Regions from separate parts of the Mus musculus genome. Here region 2 is reported to be linked to region 1. The links are microRNA targets in miRTarBase. Many come from high-throughput screens and were not tested one by one. Region 1 holds a microRNA gene; the other region holds the end of a gene's coding sequence.
What was found. The annotated mature microRNA mmu-miR-3074-2-3p reads UGUUUCAGCUCAGUAGGCAC and lies in region 1 at 4,050-4,069, shown strand. An mRNA with a match to its seed (bases 2 to 7 or 8) in the 3' UTR can be bound and repressed. Matches are read on the target gene's strand: a 7mer-m8 pairs with bases 2 to 8, a 7mer-A1 pairs with bases 2 to 7 and ends in A, and an 8mer does both.

Region 1 (9,171 bases):
TGATGAAGCTGGGAGGATTCAGAGCCAATGGTTGTAGGGTGGGAAGGGAAAGGGCAGGGTCTGGCTGCACAGATACACACTCTGCCCTCTCCCCACACCCAGGCCCACCAGCGCTGATGAGCATCATGAAGAACTGGTACTCCTTGTTCACCCCAGTGGAGGCGGTCACCATAGTGGCAGTGACAGGCACCACGCATGCCACTTTGCTGCGACTGCAGCTAGATACAGCTGGGCGAGAGGAGCTCTGGGCTTGTGCCCGCACCTTGGCACTGCAGTGCGCCATGAAGGATCCCCAGAACTGCGCCTTGCCAGCCCTGACCCTGTGTGAGAAGAACCACGCGGCCTTTGAGGCTGCCTACCAGATTGTGCTGGACGCTGCAGCCGGTGGCCTCGGCCACGCCCACCTCTTCACGGTTGCACGGTATATGGAGCATCGAGGCCTGCCTCTGCGGGCCTACAAGCTGGCCACGCTAGCCTTGGCACAACTCAGCATTGCCTTCAACCAAGACAGCCACCCTGCAGTCAACGATGTGCTGTGGGCCTGCTCCCTCAGCCACTCGCTGGGGCGGCACGAATTGTCGGCCATTGTCCCTCTCATCATCCGAAGCATCCACTGTGCACCCATGCTCTCAGACATCCTGCGACGCTGGACACTCTCAGCACCCGGGCTGGGCCCACTGGGGGCCCGCAGGGCTACCAAACCACTAGGGACTGACAGGGCACCACTTTGTCAGCTTCTGGATGCCGCAGTAGCCGCGTACATAACCACCAGCCACTCTCGCCTCACCCACATTAGCCCACGCCACTATGGTGACTTCATTGAGTTCCTGGGCAAAGCTCGAGAGACCTTCCTTCTGGCACCAGACGGGCACCTCCAGTTCGCACAGTTCTTAGAAAACCTGAAACAGACGTACAAGGGAAAGAAGAAGTTGATGCTGTTGGTTCGGGAACGGTTTGGCTGAGGAACTGCAGAAAGCCGGGAGCATGGGTGTCCCAGGCCCACCTTCCTCAAACAGGAGGCCCATGGCTACTTGCAGTAAAGTTACAGAGGTGGGAGGCAGAGGGTGACATCATTCCAGGTGTGTGCCTAGGAGTGTGCAGACAAACGGGACATGCGATCTGAGGATCCGAAGCCATACTGCTAACTAGACCCTGCAGGGAGTATGTGCCTGGGCACCTCACACGGAAGAAGCAAGCTCTGGCTCTTCCAGACTCCCAGGGTCAGCTGGGACTTCCAGGAGAAGGGCTGGGCCAGAGTGAAGTTAGGCCTCCAACTCAGTGCAGCAGATGCTCCAGAGCCGGAGCTGGCCGGAGCCTAGGCACTTCACATCAGGGTAGTTACTTCCCACTGTGTTTCTCCCCTCTCCACAGCTCAGGGCTCCTGTCCCACTGCCCTGCGCCCCCAGCCCCAGCTTTCCAGCACAAATGCCTCACCCCACTGAAGGATATTAAGAGGTCTTGGGCCTCTGCCACATACCTCACCCCCAAATACCCTTGTCAAGCCAGGGCCTGTCTTCTCTTGGGCACCAAGGTCACAGGGTAGGCTGGGGACAGCTCTCTGCTGGCCAGACCCCACCACTAGTAACTGGATACACAACTCAGGAGTCAGGCTGCCCTCCAGCCTGTTGTGGGAGGCACAGGCAGACAGCCAGGGACCCCGTTCTGTCTTCCTCTTGCTCTGCACCTCCATTTGTTTCCCCACTCCCTTAGTTTCCCCATGTCTGCATCTCTCTCAAGTCCCAGCTGCTGACAGGCCTTCCTGTATCCCAGGCCTTGGCCCAGGGAGGAAGAGAAGGGAGAGCCTCCACCCCAGACGCACCTGTCTTCTCTCTTGTATATTAAGGAAAAAGTTGGCATCATTTTGTAACTTTTTTTCTTATTTATTGAACCCCATACTGTATTCTTTTCCTTTTTTTTTCCTTTTTTTTTAAAAAAAAGATTGAACACAACTTCTTTTTAACTTCAAGACTGGGTTGCATTGCTAACACAAACACCCGGGGCCAGGGGTACCTACCACCTGCTCAATTAACCAAAAAATTTTCCATCTCGGTTTTTGGGCACAACTTGAATGGGACAGGAGAGGCTGCTGGTTTCTTCATGGCATCGTGGTGACACGAAGAGCCACCTCTTGCTGGTGGCTTTACTGCTTTTCCATCTGCATGTCATAATCTCTGCAAGTCAGGAGGCTTAAAACGCCCAAACCTAGAGTCTGTAGGTTTTTGGAAAATGCACCCAGATTGCACTGTCCTTCATTGCAGGAAATGACCACCAGGGGGCGTCTGGCTCCAGACAACGTCATTCGGAGCTCCGGAGGTCTCACCAGGTGCGGAGGGCAGCTGGGGACGCCTGTGTCCCCAGTGACCTGCCCATTGCATTTTTGGGCTGTGGATGAGACTCCCGTTCTTAGATGGATTCATCCAGCGGACGGCCTGGGCATTCTTCTCATTCTCCGGTTCTTTATGTCCTTAGCTGTGTCTGACAGGGTCATTGTTTAGGACCGTTCTCTTGGAAGCTGTGTGTGTGTGTGTGTTGCCTCTGTGGGGCACTATGGGAGCTGGCTGTGACTATGAGTGTGGCCATAGTTCATGGTGCGTTCCTTTGCTCCAGGGAGCCGATCAGAGGCGATCCGCCCCTTAGCCCTTCTGGCGCAGACGGGCGCGCGCGCGTGCGTGCGTGCGTGCGTGTGTGTGTGTGTGTGTGTGTGTGTGTGTGTGTGTGTAGACGGGCGCGCGCGCGTGCGTGTGTGTGTGCATGCGCGCGTGTCTGTCTGTGCTCGCATATGTGCCCGTCCTTAAGCCCTGTGTGTGTGTGTGTGTGTGTGTGTGTGCATGCGCGCGTGTCTGTCTGTGCGCGCATATGTGCCCGTCCTTAAGCCCTGGCATCTTGCCAGTCAGTGCATCCCAGCATAGGCAGAGTACATTCTTGTAACATACTCCCTCATGGAACTGGGGTGACCACAGATTGGTCTCATACACCCCAGGTCTGGGTTATCCCTCCCGTTCAAGCCATCCCCAAAGGATCCCAGGATCTTCAGGTCGCAGCACCTACTGACCACAGAACTATATTTACACCTTCCTAGAAGCAGGTGGAGCAAGGTTGGGGATAGGTGCAATGCAGGTTAGGAGCCCAGGGTGTGGTAGATATAGTGGTGCAGCTGGTATTCCCAAACTCCAGACACTGGAGGAGTTTGATTCAAGGTCAGCCTGGTCTACACAGAAATGCTGTTTCAAGAGAAATGAAAAAAGCCAGCAACACACATGTGGGAGGCGGGAATGAAGAGACGTCAGCCCTTACGGAATGAGGCTGTGGAGCTTTTATTTAGTTGGAGAACAACATTCAATACAAGCTTTCAACTCTGTTCTTCCACCCAGGCTTCGATTTGCCCCTGCCCAGAGTAGGGAGAGGACACTGTATGGTCTGGGAAGTGTAACTCAGCCAGTTCCAATTAGTCTGCATGCAGTCTCATTTGTGGGTAGTAGGCAACTTTTTAACTTCCAAGCCTGGAGATTACTTCAACAGGCCAATGGGGGGGGGGGGCATGGATCTGTTCATATCCTGAGGCCTGTGTGGACCTCGCTCCCTGCCTCGCTGTCACCAGCAGAAAGCTGCAGACCCCATGGGATTGCTAGGCACACTGGATCAGGTCAGTGCCTTCTTCCGGAAGCAGAGAGTTGGCATTTAACCGTTAGAGGGCCTAAAGCAGCTTCCTCTTGGGTAACTGACTTCAAAGATGGTATGTATAAGGGGTGGTGCCTGAGCCCCACCAGACTTAGGAAAAGAAGGGCTTCCAGGCCCTGAGGGGACATAACTGGCTTTTAATGCAAGGGTTACCCGCCCATCTATCTGCTTTGGGGAACCACAGAAATCTCAAGGTGGACACCCAGATGCAGGCTTAGAGGCTGAGCCTCCAGCAGACAACGGGGCTTAGGTTGGACTAATTACCCCATTGTTTCCAGGTCTTGCTCACGGCAGACATTCTGCAGGGTTGCCAGCTCCTAGGGGGCTGGACTCCTGTTCCTGCTGAACTGAGCCAGTGCACTGGAATCAACTGTTTCAGCTCAGTAGGCACGGGAGGCGGAGCCCGGAGAGAGGCAGAGCCCTGCCAGCCAGGAGGCAGAGCAGGGTGGGCAGCAGCGGCCTGAGGAGATGGGGTCCAGGGGGCGGAACTTAGCCACTGTGAACACGACTTTGCTGTGGACCTTGCTCACAAGCAGCTAAGCCCTGCTCCTCAGGCCAGTTGTCATGATAGGCTTCTCTGTTACCCAGTACCCAAGACAGACATCCTTGGCGACAGGAGCCCCCAAGGCAGAGCACAGGGTCAGTTGGAAATCCCTGGCAATGTGATTTGTGACTGGCATCAAATCCCATCCCCAGGAACCCCAGCCGTCCGAGGCACAGTGAGGGGGGCAGCAGGTGGGAGCGGAGTGTAGCACCTAAAGAGAGAAAGAAGAGACAGTGAGATTGGAGCATTCTTGCTTGCCTGCCTATCTTGACCAGGCTGGGTCTCACATAGCTGAACACAAGGTTTCCGAATGCACCAGTTCTTCCTGCCTCTACCTCTGGAGTCTAGGATTATAGGTACACCTCACCACACACAGTTTAAGTGGTGCTGGGGACAGAATCTAAACTCAGCTTGCTGATCCACACCCTAGCCCTCCTCTACTTCCAAGAGGGAAGAAGCATTCCCAAAAAAGAGGAGCATCGATCCGTAGGAAGGTTGGAGCGAGGCTGCTGGATGCTGGGCACCCAGCAGTGCCTCTACCCCAGCCCTACAAAGCGGGAGGTGCCTGAAGCCCTAAGGCCAAAGGGGCTGCAGAGCCTTCCCAGCTGCTTCCCACTCTGCTTCTATCCCCACCCACAGCCCTGAGCCCAAAGCAGGCCAAATGGGGCCATGGAGAGGAAGCTGAGGGAGGTGGACGGTTGGAGGGAGGAAGTGACCTCACCCCAGCTGGCGCCACTTCCTAGAAGCCTGAAGGGCAGGAGGAAACTCCAGGGCCTCCCACCTCAGCCCTCTCCTCCCCAGCCAGCTCAGACATAACCCCACCCCCACCCCACACCACCTAGGGCCCAAGCAAGGAGAAGCAGGCCGATGCACCCCAACAATAACACCTCAGTAAAGTTTCCCCTAGGCCTTCCAAGCCTCAGTTTCCCCATCTGTAAAGCAGACTACAACAGTTGCAGTTGGTGGCTCACGTTTATCTCAGCATTGAGGAAACTGAGGCAGGAAGGTTGCCAAGAATGGAGTCAAAAGCCTGCTTAAGCTACATGATGAGTTTTAGGCCTAACTGGGCTACAGTTTGAGACCCTAGTCTTAAATAGAAGAAAAACAAAAATAAAACAACAAAACCCCAAACCTTCTACTAGGAAGGCCAGTGAAAACTTACAGAGAAGGTATTTAGCACCCAGTACCAGGGCAAGCCACAAAATTTGGGGCCTACCCAATGTAGAGTAGTGTCCTGCGTGCCAGTTAAAGTTTTCAGGGGCCAGCAAGCTGATCCAGCAAGTGAGCAGAGCTGCTATGGAGCCCAATGCCCTGAGCTCAAACCCAAGAACCACGAAGAAGAAAAGCATACGGACCCTTGCAAGTTGTCCTCTGATCTCTGCACTTGGGAACACACACACACAATTTTTAAAAATTGTTTAAAGAATTTCAATGTTGGAGAGATGACAGGTTTCTTTCCCAGAACCTACATGACAAGCACAGCTATCTATAGCTCCATTCCCAAGAGCTCCAACGCTCCCCACTGGCCCCTGTGGGTACCAGGCATACATATGGTGCACAGACGTACGCGTAAGCAAACATTCACAAACAGACAATAAAAATAAACTTAAGAATGGTGGTGCACACTGTTAGTCCCAGCACTTGAAAGGCAAAGGAAAGCAAGAACCAGGCCTTGGACAGTACTATCTCTAAGAGTTCAAGGCCAGCTTGGTCTGTGTAGGGAGTTTCAGACCATCCAGGGCTACATAGTGACACAAGTGACCTTGTTTCAGATAAAGAGCTGACTCAGTGGTTAAGAGTGGCTACTGCTCTTGCAGAGGGCCCGAGTTTGGATCTCAGCACCTGTCACAACTACCTGTAACTCCAGCTTCTGGGGATTTCACTCCCTCTTCTGGTCTCTGAGTGTACTGCACTGTCATGCACAAAGACCAGACAACACACACACACACACACACACACACACACACACACACACACACACGTCTTCTTTATAAAACATCAGGGTCGGGCTGGTGAGATGGCTCAGTTGGTAAGAGCACCCGACTGCTCTTCCGAAGGTCCGGAGTTCAAATCCCAGCAACCACATGGTGGCTCAAAACCATCTGTAACGAGATCTGACTCCCTCTTCTGGAGTGTCTGAAGACAGCTACAGTGTACTTACATATAATAAATAAATAAATCTTAAAAAAAAAAAAAAAAACATCAGGGTCTTCAGTGATAGGTCAATCAATAAAGTGGTCACCATGTAAGCAAAAGGGCTTGTGTTGTCCCCAGGTATGGCAATTCACACTTGTAATTCCAGAGCTGGGGAAGGGAAGCCACAAGATGCTCTAGGGCTCACCACCAGCCCGCCTCACCAGCTCCATGTCCCAGTAAGACACCTTCTCTGAGAAAACAAGGTTGGAGCTAGAGAGATGGCTCAGTGGTTAAGAGCATTTGTTGCTCTTTCAGAGGACCTGGGTTGAGTTCCCTGCACCTACACAGTGGCTCACAACCATCTGTAACTCCAGTTACAGGAGATTCTATGTCTCCCACCTTTTAGGACATCAGACACACACAATCCTGAGAAACTACACTTGACATTGCACTCTGTACACACACACACACACACACACACACACACACACACACAAAAGGGAGGAGAGTAGAATTTTCATGCCATGCACCAGGGCCAGGTCTTATATAAGCCCTACAGTGGTGCATACCTGTGATCCCAGCTAGGAAGAGACAGAAGCAGGAAGATATATATGAGTTTGAGGCCAGCCTGGTCTACATATGAGGCCCTTTTTAAAGGGGGAGGGGGAGGAAAGGGAAGGAAAGGGTTTTGGCTACGGGACACTCAGTTCTGGAGCTCGTCAGCCTGCATGTGAGCTATGCAGCTTCTTTGCTGGCTGACTATGGGCAAAGAACACACGTGCTCTGTGGCAAAGTCTCTGTCTGCAAGAAAGCAAAAATGAATCATTTCAGAGCTCGAGATGATGTGACATGACAGCAGACTGCAGACGTGTAATCCCTATATCTAGGACAGGGGTAAAAAGATCTCAATTTAGAAGCCAGCCTGGGCTACCAAGACATGGTGTGTCTCAAAAAGAAAGGGCTAGAGATGGCTCAGCACTTGCTGCTCTTCCGGGGGTTCCAGGTTCAATATCCAGCACCTACATAGTGGCTAACAACTATCTCCAACTTTAGTTCTAGGGATCCTGACACTTTTTTCTGAACTCTGCAGACATACATGCAGACAAAACATCTGCACACGGAAATAATTGTTGTTTTGGTTTGGTTTTGTTTTTTTGAGACAGGGTTTCTTTGTGTAGCCATGGCTATAGCCCTGGCTGTCCTTGGCACTCACTTTGTAGACCAGGCTGCCCTCGAACTCAGAAATCCACCTGTTTCTGCCTCCCAAGTGCTAGGATTAAAGGTGTGCGCCACCACACCCGGTGAAATAATTTTTAATTAAAAAAAAAAAAAGCAACAAGGGGTAAGGCTCAATGGCAGCTGCTGGCCTAGCACACTGACTGGGCTTGGCTTCACCCCCAGTACCATATCAAGGAAGTGTGGTGGTTTATACACATGTTCCCAGCACTCCGCAGGCATTAGCAGGTATGTCTCAGGAAGTTTAAGGCCAGCCTGGTCTACAGAGGAAGTTCCAGGACAGCCAGGACTACACAGAGAAAGCCTGTCTAGGAAAAACAAAATAAAAATAAAAACAAGAAATGTGTCTACAGAGCAAGCTGGAGGGCAACCTGGGATACATGAGACTCTAAAAAAGATAAGTTTAGGGCTAGAGAGATGGCTCAGCGGGTAAGAGCACTGACTGCCCTTCCGAAGGTCCTGAGTTCAAATCCTAGCCACCACATGGTAGCTCACAACCATCCGTAATGAGATCTAACACCCTCTTCTGGAGTGTCTAAAGACAGCTACAGCGTACTTACATATAATAATAAATCTTAAAAAAAAAAAAAGAAAACAAGTTCAGGGCTGGAAAGATGACTCAATAGTTTAGACTGCATATTGCTTTCTGAGAACCTGAATTTGGTTTCCCGGCTCACATGTGGCGCCCTCTTCTGGACCCTTTAGGCACCTACACATACATGCACATACCCAACACATACACAAAAGTAAAAAAATAAGTCTTAAAAAAAAAGAAAATCTCTACTTCCCAATAATTGGAAGAGTTCCTGGGTGACATCAAGGACAGAAGCATTCAGTCATATCAGGCAGTGACAGGCAGGACAGTGGATTTAACGTCTAGATCTGGCATCACCGATGTCTGAGGAATGAGGAATAAGGATTGAGATATTCTGATGTGTCTTCCCCAGTACGCGTGCTTACACACACACACACACACACACACACACAGTCTCCAGCCCCAATCCACCTCTGTCTCTTTGGGTTCTGGGGGCAGCCCAGGTCCACAGGCTGACCAGCCTCCCCAATCACCTCCGGAAGTGAGACAGCATATTCGTCCCAGGGACCAGAACGGGAAGGGCGGCCATTTGGCCAGGCTGGTTTCCTGTGGGGTTTCCCCTACAAAGAGCCCAAGGCTGCAGCCAAGGCCACTCCCATCCTCACACACACCAGAGGTCTGTGTCTGGCGTGGAGGGGGCATTACCACGCAGGTGTCCAGGAGCTGGGACACCCTGTACTGACTCTTAGTCTCACAGGGAGACTCAAAGGGACAGAAGTCCTGGAGCTGGAGGGCTTGAGAAACAGGGCGGGGGGCCTTGGGCTGTGGTATCCCAGTCAGTTAAATTAGCACACACAGCCTTCAAGCCCTCGGCATCCCTGGAGGACCCACAGTGAACCCCAAGAAAGAACCAGGGCAGAGGCCCTCCGGTCGTCCCCAACCCTGATCCTCAAATACTTTCCACTCTCGCGAAGCAGCGAGGATCGGAAAATACCAAGGGCTGCAGTCTCCGCCCAGCTCCGCCCCCGCCCCAGCCACCAGC
Region 2 (9,171 bases), not on the chromosome of region 1:
CCAAACAACAACAACACAAACAAACAAACAAAAAAGACAAGCTAGTTGTGGTGGTGTACATTCAGGCAACTGAGGCAGAAGAGAAGCCTAAAGTCAACTTGGGCTATATAGAGAACCGTGACTCAAAAAGAAAAGCAAAAACCCAGATTTTAATAAAGTCTACACACAGCTATGGGGTAAGTAGGTAATGTACTCCAGTAAGTACCATGAACGAATACAAGGAAGAGAAAAGGAAAAGCAGGATGACGACTTAAAAGGCAATGGGAGGCTCTCTTGAAGGTGTTCGCTGGGCAGCAAGGAACCTTGAAGTGAGCTGCAGAGAGCAAAGCATAGGGGACTAGGACATGCTAATGTCCTGGGGTCTGGAGGCAGTGGAAATGTCAGCATCAACAGTGGAAAGGACCAGAATGGATATGCCAGATCTTATGAGACCTAAGCAGGAATCTGGCAGTTTTGTCAGGGGCTGCTGTCTGTCTTCACCCCAACCAACCATTTGCCCACCCTGACAGAAGGCTCCCACCCTGCAGCCAGGTCCTCACCATGGGGTAGTAGTAGCTATACGGATAGGCATAGTTGTACTGCTGGTACCACTGGTAGTATTGTTGCTGCTGCTGCTGCAAAGCAGAGGCTTCTGCCTGAGAGACGTACTGCAGAAAAAGGAGTGTCCATCAGTACCAGCCACAGGAGCCCATGGGCACTACACTACCAAGAGGGTAGGCCTTCACTGCAGAGCAACTGCAGAAGGGTGCAGACTCTGTACAGTAAGACTAGACATCTTAAAAGATGGGGACGATCATCCTTAAGATCACTCAGGCCCAGGTTGACCCAAAGGAGTTAACTTTCCCCCTTCATTACATTTAGTTAACAGGAAAACATGCTTACAGCCCCCCTATGGCACTCCCCTCTATGGAAGCCAGCATCCTTCCCACCCTTCTCTCGGCAACGGCCCCAGCCCAGCACTGTAGTTCCCAAATCCTCCATGCCATTCTCACTTGTGCACTGGCCACAGGACCACTGCTGCTGGCTTTGGAACTGCTGGTAGCCCCTGCTTTGCTGATGCTGGCCAGGGCCTGGCGGGCCTTCTCCCACTCTGGGTTCTCGTGCATAGGAGTCTCCATGCCATTTTCTCTGCTGTTCCCAGTCACCATGCTGTACTGAGAAGACCTGCAACAACGAAGCACAGTTATGGTCTCCCCTATCTATACACAGGTAGACAAAGTTGGGGAAAAGTAAACCCAAGGCTTGCATTCTAGAGCTAAACTCCCTACTCACCACAGCCCAAGCTGAAGGTGGCACATAGCATGTGCCAAGCAAACAGAAAGCTAACCAGTATGTACATAATTCTATACATGACCTACGACTTTAGGAGAACTCAGGTTTTTTACAAGCCAGTGAATTCTGACATGGCCAACAATGAAAAAAAAATTTAAAAAAAGAAAAGGGAAGGATCAGAAAGATATTAAGAGGGGGCTGGAGAGGTGGCTCAGTGCTTAAGAACATTTAGCAGTCTTGCAGATATCACTAAGCTCTGTTCCCAGCACCCATGTCGGATGGCTCAGAGCCACCTCTAACTCCAGCTCCAAGGGATCTGAGGCTTCTTCTGACCTTGACGAACATGGGTGACACACACTCACTCACACCCACATAAGCTCACATACATTAAAGGAAAGCTCAAAGGGGAAGCTTGCCCCTCCATCCTAGCCCCCACAATGAGCATTTTTCCCCCAAGCTGTGCAAGGACCCGTTGTGTCTTGTTCCTCTTGCAATGGGCTGTGTTCCCTTAGCCCTACTAACCAGTCTGCAGCACGCTGATCACCCACGTTGGCCGCCATCTGGACCTTGGGGTGTAGGGAATAGACCTCGGGAGCCAGGCTGCTTTTTAAATGTCTATAAGAAAAGAGATCAATTAGCCCCAAGAGAAGATAGGCTAGAAAGAGAGGGTATCTCATAGAAGGGAACACTGGCAAAGAATGGAAAGGAAAGCAAGTGTGGTGGCTCATGACCATAATGCCAGCAATCTTTTGGGAGTTCCAATACCCATCTGGGCTACAAGTTACAGTCCTGTCTCAAAAACAAACAGCTTAAAGAATCAGAATCAGTTCCTAGTGTGGAGTGAAGAGACCTGAGCATGAAAGGAAACACCTCCCTTGGAGGCCGAGACTAGCCTGTAGGATATGAAAATGAAAGACAAAGAAGCTGAGACTTGCATTACGAGTGTGGCTGTGAGGGAGACCTGACTCAAGTGGTGGATGCAGAAACCTCAGTCCTGGATAGGAAATCTAAAGATACTTCTACTACAGCAAGAGGAAGGCTCTCCAGTGACTGAAGTACTAGCTACAAAGAAGTTTGGGGAGAGGGAAGCCTTTGGGGATACTCTGAGGAGGAAGGAATTGAGACTGGGAGAACACTGGAGAATAGAGCAAAGTTTTCAAAGAAAAAGGTAAAGTATGGATATCCCGCTGAGCAGCCAGGTGAAGGTGCAGGAGACTCCTTCCTGTGAAGTCACTGCCTGGCAGCACCTACCAGACTCAGATCAATTACAGTCTCCAGACTTGTATGGGATGTTCCTAGGAGTGGGAGTTGGTTTGGGAGCAAACAAGTGGCAATTACTCAAGTAAGGTGTCTGCAGATAACAGAGGCCCACAACATTCTTAAACTATTAGGGGTGGGGTGGATAGTACCATAAGAAATAGGATGGGTTGAGCACCGTGCCAACAGGGCTGGAGCGGTCCAAACAACAGGATTTACAGAAAAGAAGCCTATTGGAGAAACTGAAACCCTTATAGGAAGCCTAAGGGGCACTGACAGGTCTCAAAGGCCTTTAAAAAACCCAATCCGTTGGGTGGTATCAAGGGGTCCTAACTAGGGATGCACAAAAGAGAGCCTCGTGTTCGTAACTGGTATTAGGAGTAAGGGGTCTGATTTACAGACGAGAACAACACGGACTGTAAGCTCAGAAGCACCTGGCTGTCCCGCAGGCATGGAGTCCACGACGCTAGGTGGAGGTTGAGGCCGCCCTGAACACAAGCGACCTCCCTTGTCCCCCGCGACCAGCCACCGGCCGGGCCGCGCTTGCGCACCACGCTGCGAGGGTGGCCTCTCTGGGTTGCCCTAGGCAACAGGAAGGCCAGCGTAACAGCGGGTCAATGGAGCCCGCAAGGGGTGCGTCTAGGGCACTAGGGACCGCAGGGTTCCCAGGGCCAGTAGCAGAGCGGACGCGGACGCGCACGCGCACGTAGGGGAGCCGCCCCCTCCCCCCCCCAGCGTACACCCGGCGCGCATGCGCAGAGGCGCTCCGGCGGCCACACCCTTCAAAGACGCAGGGCGCGGCGTCGGTTGGCCTTACCAAACAGGCCAGGGCTCGCGGAGCGCGGAGCCCGAAGGCGTCCCTGTGCTCGCCCGCCAGGCCTCCCACTACTACCCACACTCACTAGGACCGCTCGCTCCCGGGACTCGTTACCGGCGGTCCAAGGCAGCTTCAAGACAACCAAGACAGCGCTCAGTCACCGGCTGGCTCTAGTCTGGGGCTCGAACGTCCTGACCGTGGCGTGATGACGTTACCCGGACGTCTGTCCCCGCCCTGTGTCGCGCACAGCCAATAGACGTCACCGCTCGGCTTGAACCGCCCACCACACGTCTCGCGAACGCAGTCGCGTGTTGGCGTTTGTCAGCAAGCCGGAAGCTGGCCCTAGACGGTGGCCCCGTGGGGACAAGTACCTCCCAGCCTCTCGTGCGCGCTCACAACAGCTTAGTTTTGACTCAGCAGTCAATAGTCTCTCAGATGTAACGCATAGGGACAGGAGTTGTGAGGCTGCGCACTGCGCTAGGACGATTTAAAATAAATGAATATATAAGCGGGTGGAGGGAAATGGGATAAGGTGAATCCTCCCTTGGAAGGTTTATTTAGTGAGTAAAATTGGAAAGGCGCACCTGGCGTAGGGAACAGCGAGTGCGAACCAAAGGAAGCGGGAAACGCGTCGCTTGAGGAATGGGAGTAGCCACTGGACTGTGACGCTGGAAAGGTACCTTGTAGGGTGTTGGGATGGTGAGATCTGCTCGGAGTGGCAGCTAGCAGAACTGTATCTTTTAGGATCAGGATGGCCCTGGAACTCAGAAACCCGCCTCCCTCTTAATGGGATTAAGGTGTGGGCCGCCACTTAAAGCTCACTGTTTACAGTAGGAGTGATTGAATTATGCAGCCCAACTTGGGATCTCCCGTTAAAATAATTGATAAGACTACCTTCTTATCAATTATTGTTCATCAATTGACCAGTTTCCAGTCTCACATTGTACAAGCAACTTTTGGTAATTAAACAACACTTGGATAACTCTGTATCATTTGCTAGTGTTAGCTTGGTAGGTTTCTTCCCATCTCTTTTTTATAATGAACTTTTATTTTAGAATAAATTTTAAGTTTACAGAAATTACAAAAGTAATACAGGAATTGGGCACACTATGCCCAGTTTCCCCTATTGCTAGATTCCACACCTCAAATTCATTTGTTAAAAGTAAGAAATTGACATTGCTCTAATATTCTGAACTAAGCCGCAGATGTGGGCGCTTTTTCTCACTAATGTTTCCGGTGCGCCATAGCGTAACCCAGAGCATCATGTTGCATTTGTCTTGCTTTTTTACCCATCCTGTCAAGAGCTGTTTATTGGGTTTATGATGCCCATTTGCTTTACCACACAACTGAGGTTCAAAAAAACAAAACAAAAAGCCAAACCAAACTAAACCAAACCAAAACAACAACAACAACAACAAAAAAAAAAAAAAAAAAACTGGGCAGTGGTGGCCCACGCCTTTAATCCCAGCACTTGGGAGGAAGAGGCAGGTGGGTTTCTGAGTTCGAGGCCAGCCTTGTCTACAGAGTGAGTTCCAGGACAGCCAGGGCTACACAGAGAAACCCTGTCTTGAAAAACCAAAAAAAGAGGTTCAGTGAGTCAAATAACTTGCTTACATTAACACTGAGGTGCCAGGACTAGGACCCATAGGAATCCAAACCAGCATTGTGCAAGAACCAGGGATACCCCTGGTGCTTCTGTAGTCACTTGAGGACCCTGCTCTGCCATCTCCCCTACAGAGCTGCTGGTCTTTGGGAAGAGTCCCACTGTGGCAGATTAGTTTTGTCTCCAGCGTTTAACTGAGCCAGGGGTTGCTTGTTTATTTCTTTCTGGAAGCTGGTCCCTCAAAGGATTACCAGGATAAGAGATGCAGTTTTTATCCTCTCACATGTAAGCATATTTATGTTTGTTTATTTGTTTTGTTTATTATTATTTTCACATAGCTGGTGATTCACAGTCTCTGGGCAGCATATTTAGAGAACCTGTTCCCTGGGCCTCCAGACCAGCACCAGCCCACACTCCACTCTAAATCCCACAACAAATAGGTACTCGAAAGGGGAAAGTAGCACATTGTGTTTGCTAATCATTAGAATTTGAACACTTTAGTTGGGTGTGGTGATACACGCCGTCACACGCCGTTAATCTCCTCACTAGGGAGGCAGAGGCTGAGGCAGGCTCTTCTCTGTGAGTTCAAGGCCAGCCTGGTCTACAAAGAGAGTTCCAGGACAGCCCAGGGCTGTTTCACAGAGAAACCCTGTCTCCAAAACAACAACAACAAAGACAAAAAAGACAATTTTATCCATTTGTTTTGGGGTTTTTGTTTTTCTCAGTTACTTATTATTAAATTGAGGTCTTTTTTGTTAGATAATAGAAGCTTTTTGAATTATGTTTATGTATTAACCACGTTTTTCTTTGCCATGTATGCTATTTGTTTTTTAAACAAATGAGAACTACATACATATTGTTCCCCAGACAATAAATTTCCCTTTTGACTCTGCCATGTTTGTTTTTACTTGATAACTTATTGAGTGCCTCATCTTTTCCTGCCTGGATTTATAATATCTTCCTTAAACCTTCCCCCTTCATATCACCCTGGTGGCACTACAAGCAAATATTCTACTTTCTCTTCGAAGACTTCTGTCCCTATTCTGATACAAGCGTTGGTTTTCTGGAGTCTTGTGCTGGGTGTGAGCTGCTAGGAAGCAAGTTGATTCCACGCCTTTCCTAAACCCAGCAGGCTTTGTACATTCCACGGGACTGGAAGCTTGACTGTTCCTGTGGCTGCACGCCTGTTTAGATTTAGTGCTAGGCTTATTCTCTTCCGGTATCTGCTTCTTCCCCCTTGTCAGGATTCACATGTTACTTATAGAAGCAATGCAGTGCTGAGCCTGGACAAGAGGAGAGTTGCCTTTCAACCACCAGAGGAGGAGTGTCCCTAGCCCAGTCAGGACTTCCTTCTCTCAGTAGTTGGGGTGGATAAGAAGGACCTAGCTGCTTGTAAAATAAAGCCTTCCCTTTTATTTCAAATCAGCCCTCTTCCAAGTTAGTGCCATAGGTTGAGATCGCTGGGGTATGGCAGGAAACAGGGACGTGCCTGTACCTGCCTCCAGCTTCATCCCTCCAAGGACAGGACTGGCAGCCAGAGGTGAGGAACACCAGGCTGTATAGGTCAGCCCCCTTCCCAGCCACCCCTGGTCCCTGTTGTGCCACCTCAGCAATCCCCTGTGCTAAGGAGAAATGGGGATGGGGGGGTGGGTGTTAGGGCCAGAGCAGGTTGCCATCCTAAGTGAGATGTCCATAGCCAGCAGTGTTAGTGGTCAGAGCCCAGTCAAGGTCAGGTTAGTGGGGCCTTCTCCAGCAGCCAGGAAAGGAGCTAGAGAGAGGGAGAAATGAAGAGCTGATATTCACTGGAGACCCTCCCATGGACATCCACCCAACATAAGAGAGCTACAACTACTGTAGGGGAGAGCCAAGACCCAACTGTACACATTGAAGGTTACCATAGAGGAGAGGCAGGCTCCAGACTGGAGGGGAGGCTCAGATGGAAGACTGCCACTGCACAAAGCGTTTGGATTCCTGGCAGGATAACCAGGGCAGGAAAGACACTCAGAATCTGTTGTGTACGTGGGGGCCCTTCTCTCCTCCCTCGGGCCCAGGCTTCCAGACCCCAGCCTCCTCCCTCATGGCCAAGACTCATCCCTGTTCCCCTAGGACCTCAGACCCAGAGGTCCAGTCTCATTTCTCTTCTTCTCAGACCCGAGAATGCAATACTCATTTCCCCTTCCAAGAGACCCAGGAGCTCAGGCCCCAGGCCTCCTCCCTTCACACCAGGATACCTGAGGGTTGAAAGGGTCATCGTCATCTGTGTCATCGTAGTCATCACTGAAGTGTGATGGGGATGTGGGGAGTGGCAGAGAAGCAGGATGGAAACGAGTCAGGAGGCTGCCCCATCCCCACCAGTGGCCCTGGGTACTGCCTCCTGTCCCCTCCCTGGGGAGCCTGCCCTCTCTCCCCTGCTGACCTGGGTGGGAAGAGGGCCCAGGCGCGGGGCAGGCTGCACAGAGTGGTGGCTAGGGCCCCCGCAGACAGGAGAGAAAAGAGCATCAGGAACAGTAGGCCCTCTAGGGCATCTTCACACAGGCCTCGGAGTGCTGAGCCATAGTCCTGAGGCAGAGGGTGAGGAGGCTCAGGGTATGCACATGTACACTTCATACACAGGTCCAACCATCCATTTACCTGGCTGTCACCCAGACTCTCTGTGCGCAAGTGTAGTCTCTTGTCAGGGAGCTGTTCTGAACATGGAAAGTCATCTATGTGTTCAGCTTGTGCCTTTGCTGAGCTGCAGCCTTCCAACCCACTCCTATTTTATCTCAGTTCCCCACTCCCATATGCAAAGTGGCCTAGCATCTCCACTCAGCATCTAGAGAGCTGCTCTCCCAGCATCTTCAGTGGGCAAGCCTCTACGCTGTCATTCCCACTGGCAACAACCCTGCCTATCCTTGTTCTACCCACGTGCTATTGACTGGTGGGGATGCCAGCAGCATCTGTTTCTGCACTTGTGACAGTCACATCCCCACACATTGTCAGATGCCCCCTGGGTCCCACAGATTGCTGGCTTACATAACACTTAGGTTTGGGCATCCATAGGAGAGACATGCAGAAAGGACCGGCTATTGTGACCACCATTCTGGAGGCCAGCAGAACCTCTGTAACCTGAATGCCAAGTGTCACAGCCAATATTCTACCAGGATGGACTAATCTGCCTTTGCTCCGGGCATGCCACCAGCACTGGCAACCTTCAATGCATGGGACCCAGGCAGCCACTTTGGAGAGGTGAGAGCTTGTAGGACAGGAAATGTTAGGCTACTGTCCAGCAGAGACCTTGCGAGAAGAACACTAGGAGACAGGCAGATGGTCAGCTCTAGTCAGAGGCACGTAGTTGGCCTGATGTGGAGTAGAAACACCAAGGCCGAGGCTGTCTACACAGGTTCCTACTAGGTCAGTGCCACGAGCCCGGCTTTAATCCATGTGGAGAGGGACTCATGGAAGGGTTTTAAATGAAGACTCTGATCCGATTGTGTGCAGAAAGGATCACCAGCTGTTATTGGACAGATGGAATGAGCAAGATGGGCATGCATGTGAGAGGTGAGAAGGGCTAGGGCCCGATGCAGTGTTGGCTGTATGAGCAGTCGATGCAGTGGGAAGTGAGGATAGGGAGATAGAAGGGCAGTTCAGCAGGGCTGGAAGGGTGGTGGGTTCATTTTTTTAATATTTCCCACAACATAGGGGCACGAACCCACGACCCTGAGATTAAGAGTCTCATGCTCTACTGACTGATCTTGTTATGGAGGGGTCAGTGTCCAGTGAATCCTGTAGAGCCAGGATCATAGCAAAGCCTGTGTGCATGGAGAGTATCATGGTGGGAGACGGTATGTAACCAGGGAAAGTGGTCAGGTGGAGTCCCGGTGTTGTAAGGGTGAGAGTCTTTACAACAGTCAGAGATGCTGGCTTGCTCCCGGGGCCATACAGACCACAGCTGAGCCCACGGTAGGCTCACAGGCTGCCCTGCCGCCGCCCTCGCCTTTTCCTGCCCCTTTCATAGCAAGAGATATCTGGACTAGTTTTCAATCTAGGGAACTGGGGGCTGCCTGGGTTCTCATTCCAGGGCTTGAGAGGCTGAGCAGCTTTCTACGAGAGGAGAGGGTGGAAGATGAAGAACACGGGGTGGGGTGGGAGGGGGGGGGACAAAGGCGGGAGGGGGGAGAGAGAGTATGAGAAAGAGAGGAGGGGGAAGAGAAGAGAAAGCAAAGGGGAGGGGGAGAAAGAG

Region 2: miRTarBase lists Ttyh1 as a target of mmu-miR-3074-2-3p. Seed matches in the 3' UTR shown: 7mer-A1 at 5,582-5,588.

Annotation. Positions count from the first base shown.
Region 1 is chr8:84,203,737-84,212,907 of GRCm38, reverse strand. It overlaps Mir3074-2 (microRNA 3074-2), which reads left to right and starts at 4,001; the gene lies at 4,001-4,083. It overlaps Zswim4 (zinc finger SWIM-type containing 4), which reads left to right. Exons shown (of 14, transcript NM_172503.3): 14 at 103-1,966. The coding sequence ends at 962. It overlaps Mir23a (microRNA 23a), which reads right to left and starts at 4,390; the gene lies at 4,316-4,390. Mir27a (microRNA 27a) reads right to left here and starts at 4,236; the gene lies at 4,150-4,236. It also overlaps Mir24-2.
Region 2 is chr7:4,131,412-4,140,582 of GRCm38, reverse strand. Ttyh1 (tweety family member 1) reads right to left here. Exons shown (of 14, transcript NM_021324.6): 11 at 7,366-7,508; 12 at 7,181-7,226; 13 at 6,845-6,920; 14 at 5,176-6,717. The coding sequence ends at 6,882. It overlaps D030047H15Rik (RIKEN cDNA D030047H15 gene), which reads left to right and starts at 3,657. Exons shown (of 3, transcript NR_033548.1): 1 at 3,657-4,022; 2 at 7,992-8,177. It overlaps Leng8 (leukocyte receptor cluster (LRC) member 8), which reads right to left and starts at 3,103. Exons shown (of 16, transcript NM_001374609.1): 1 at 2,964-3,103; 2 at 1,795-1,887; 3 at 993-1,164; 4 at 540-647. The coding sequence starts at 1,832.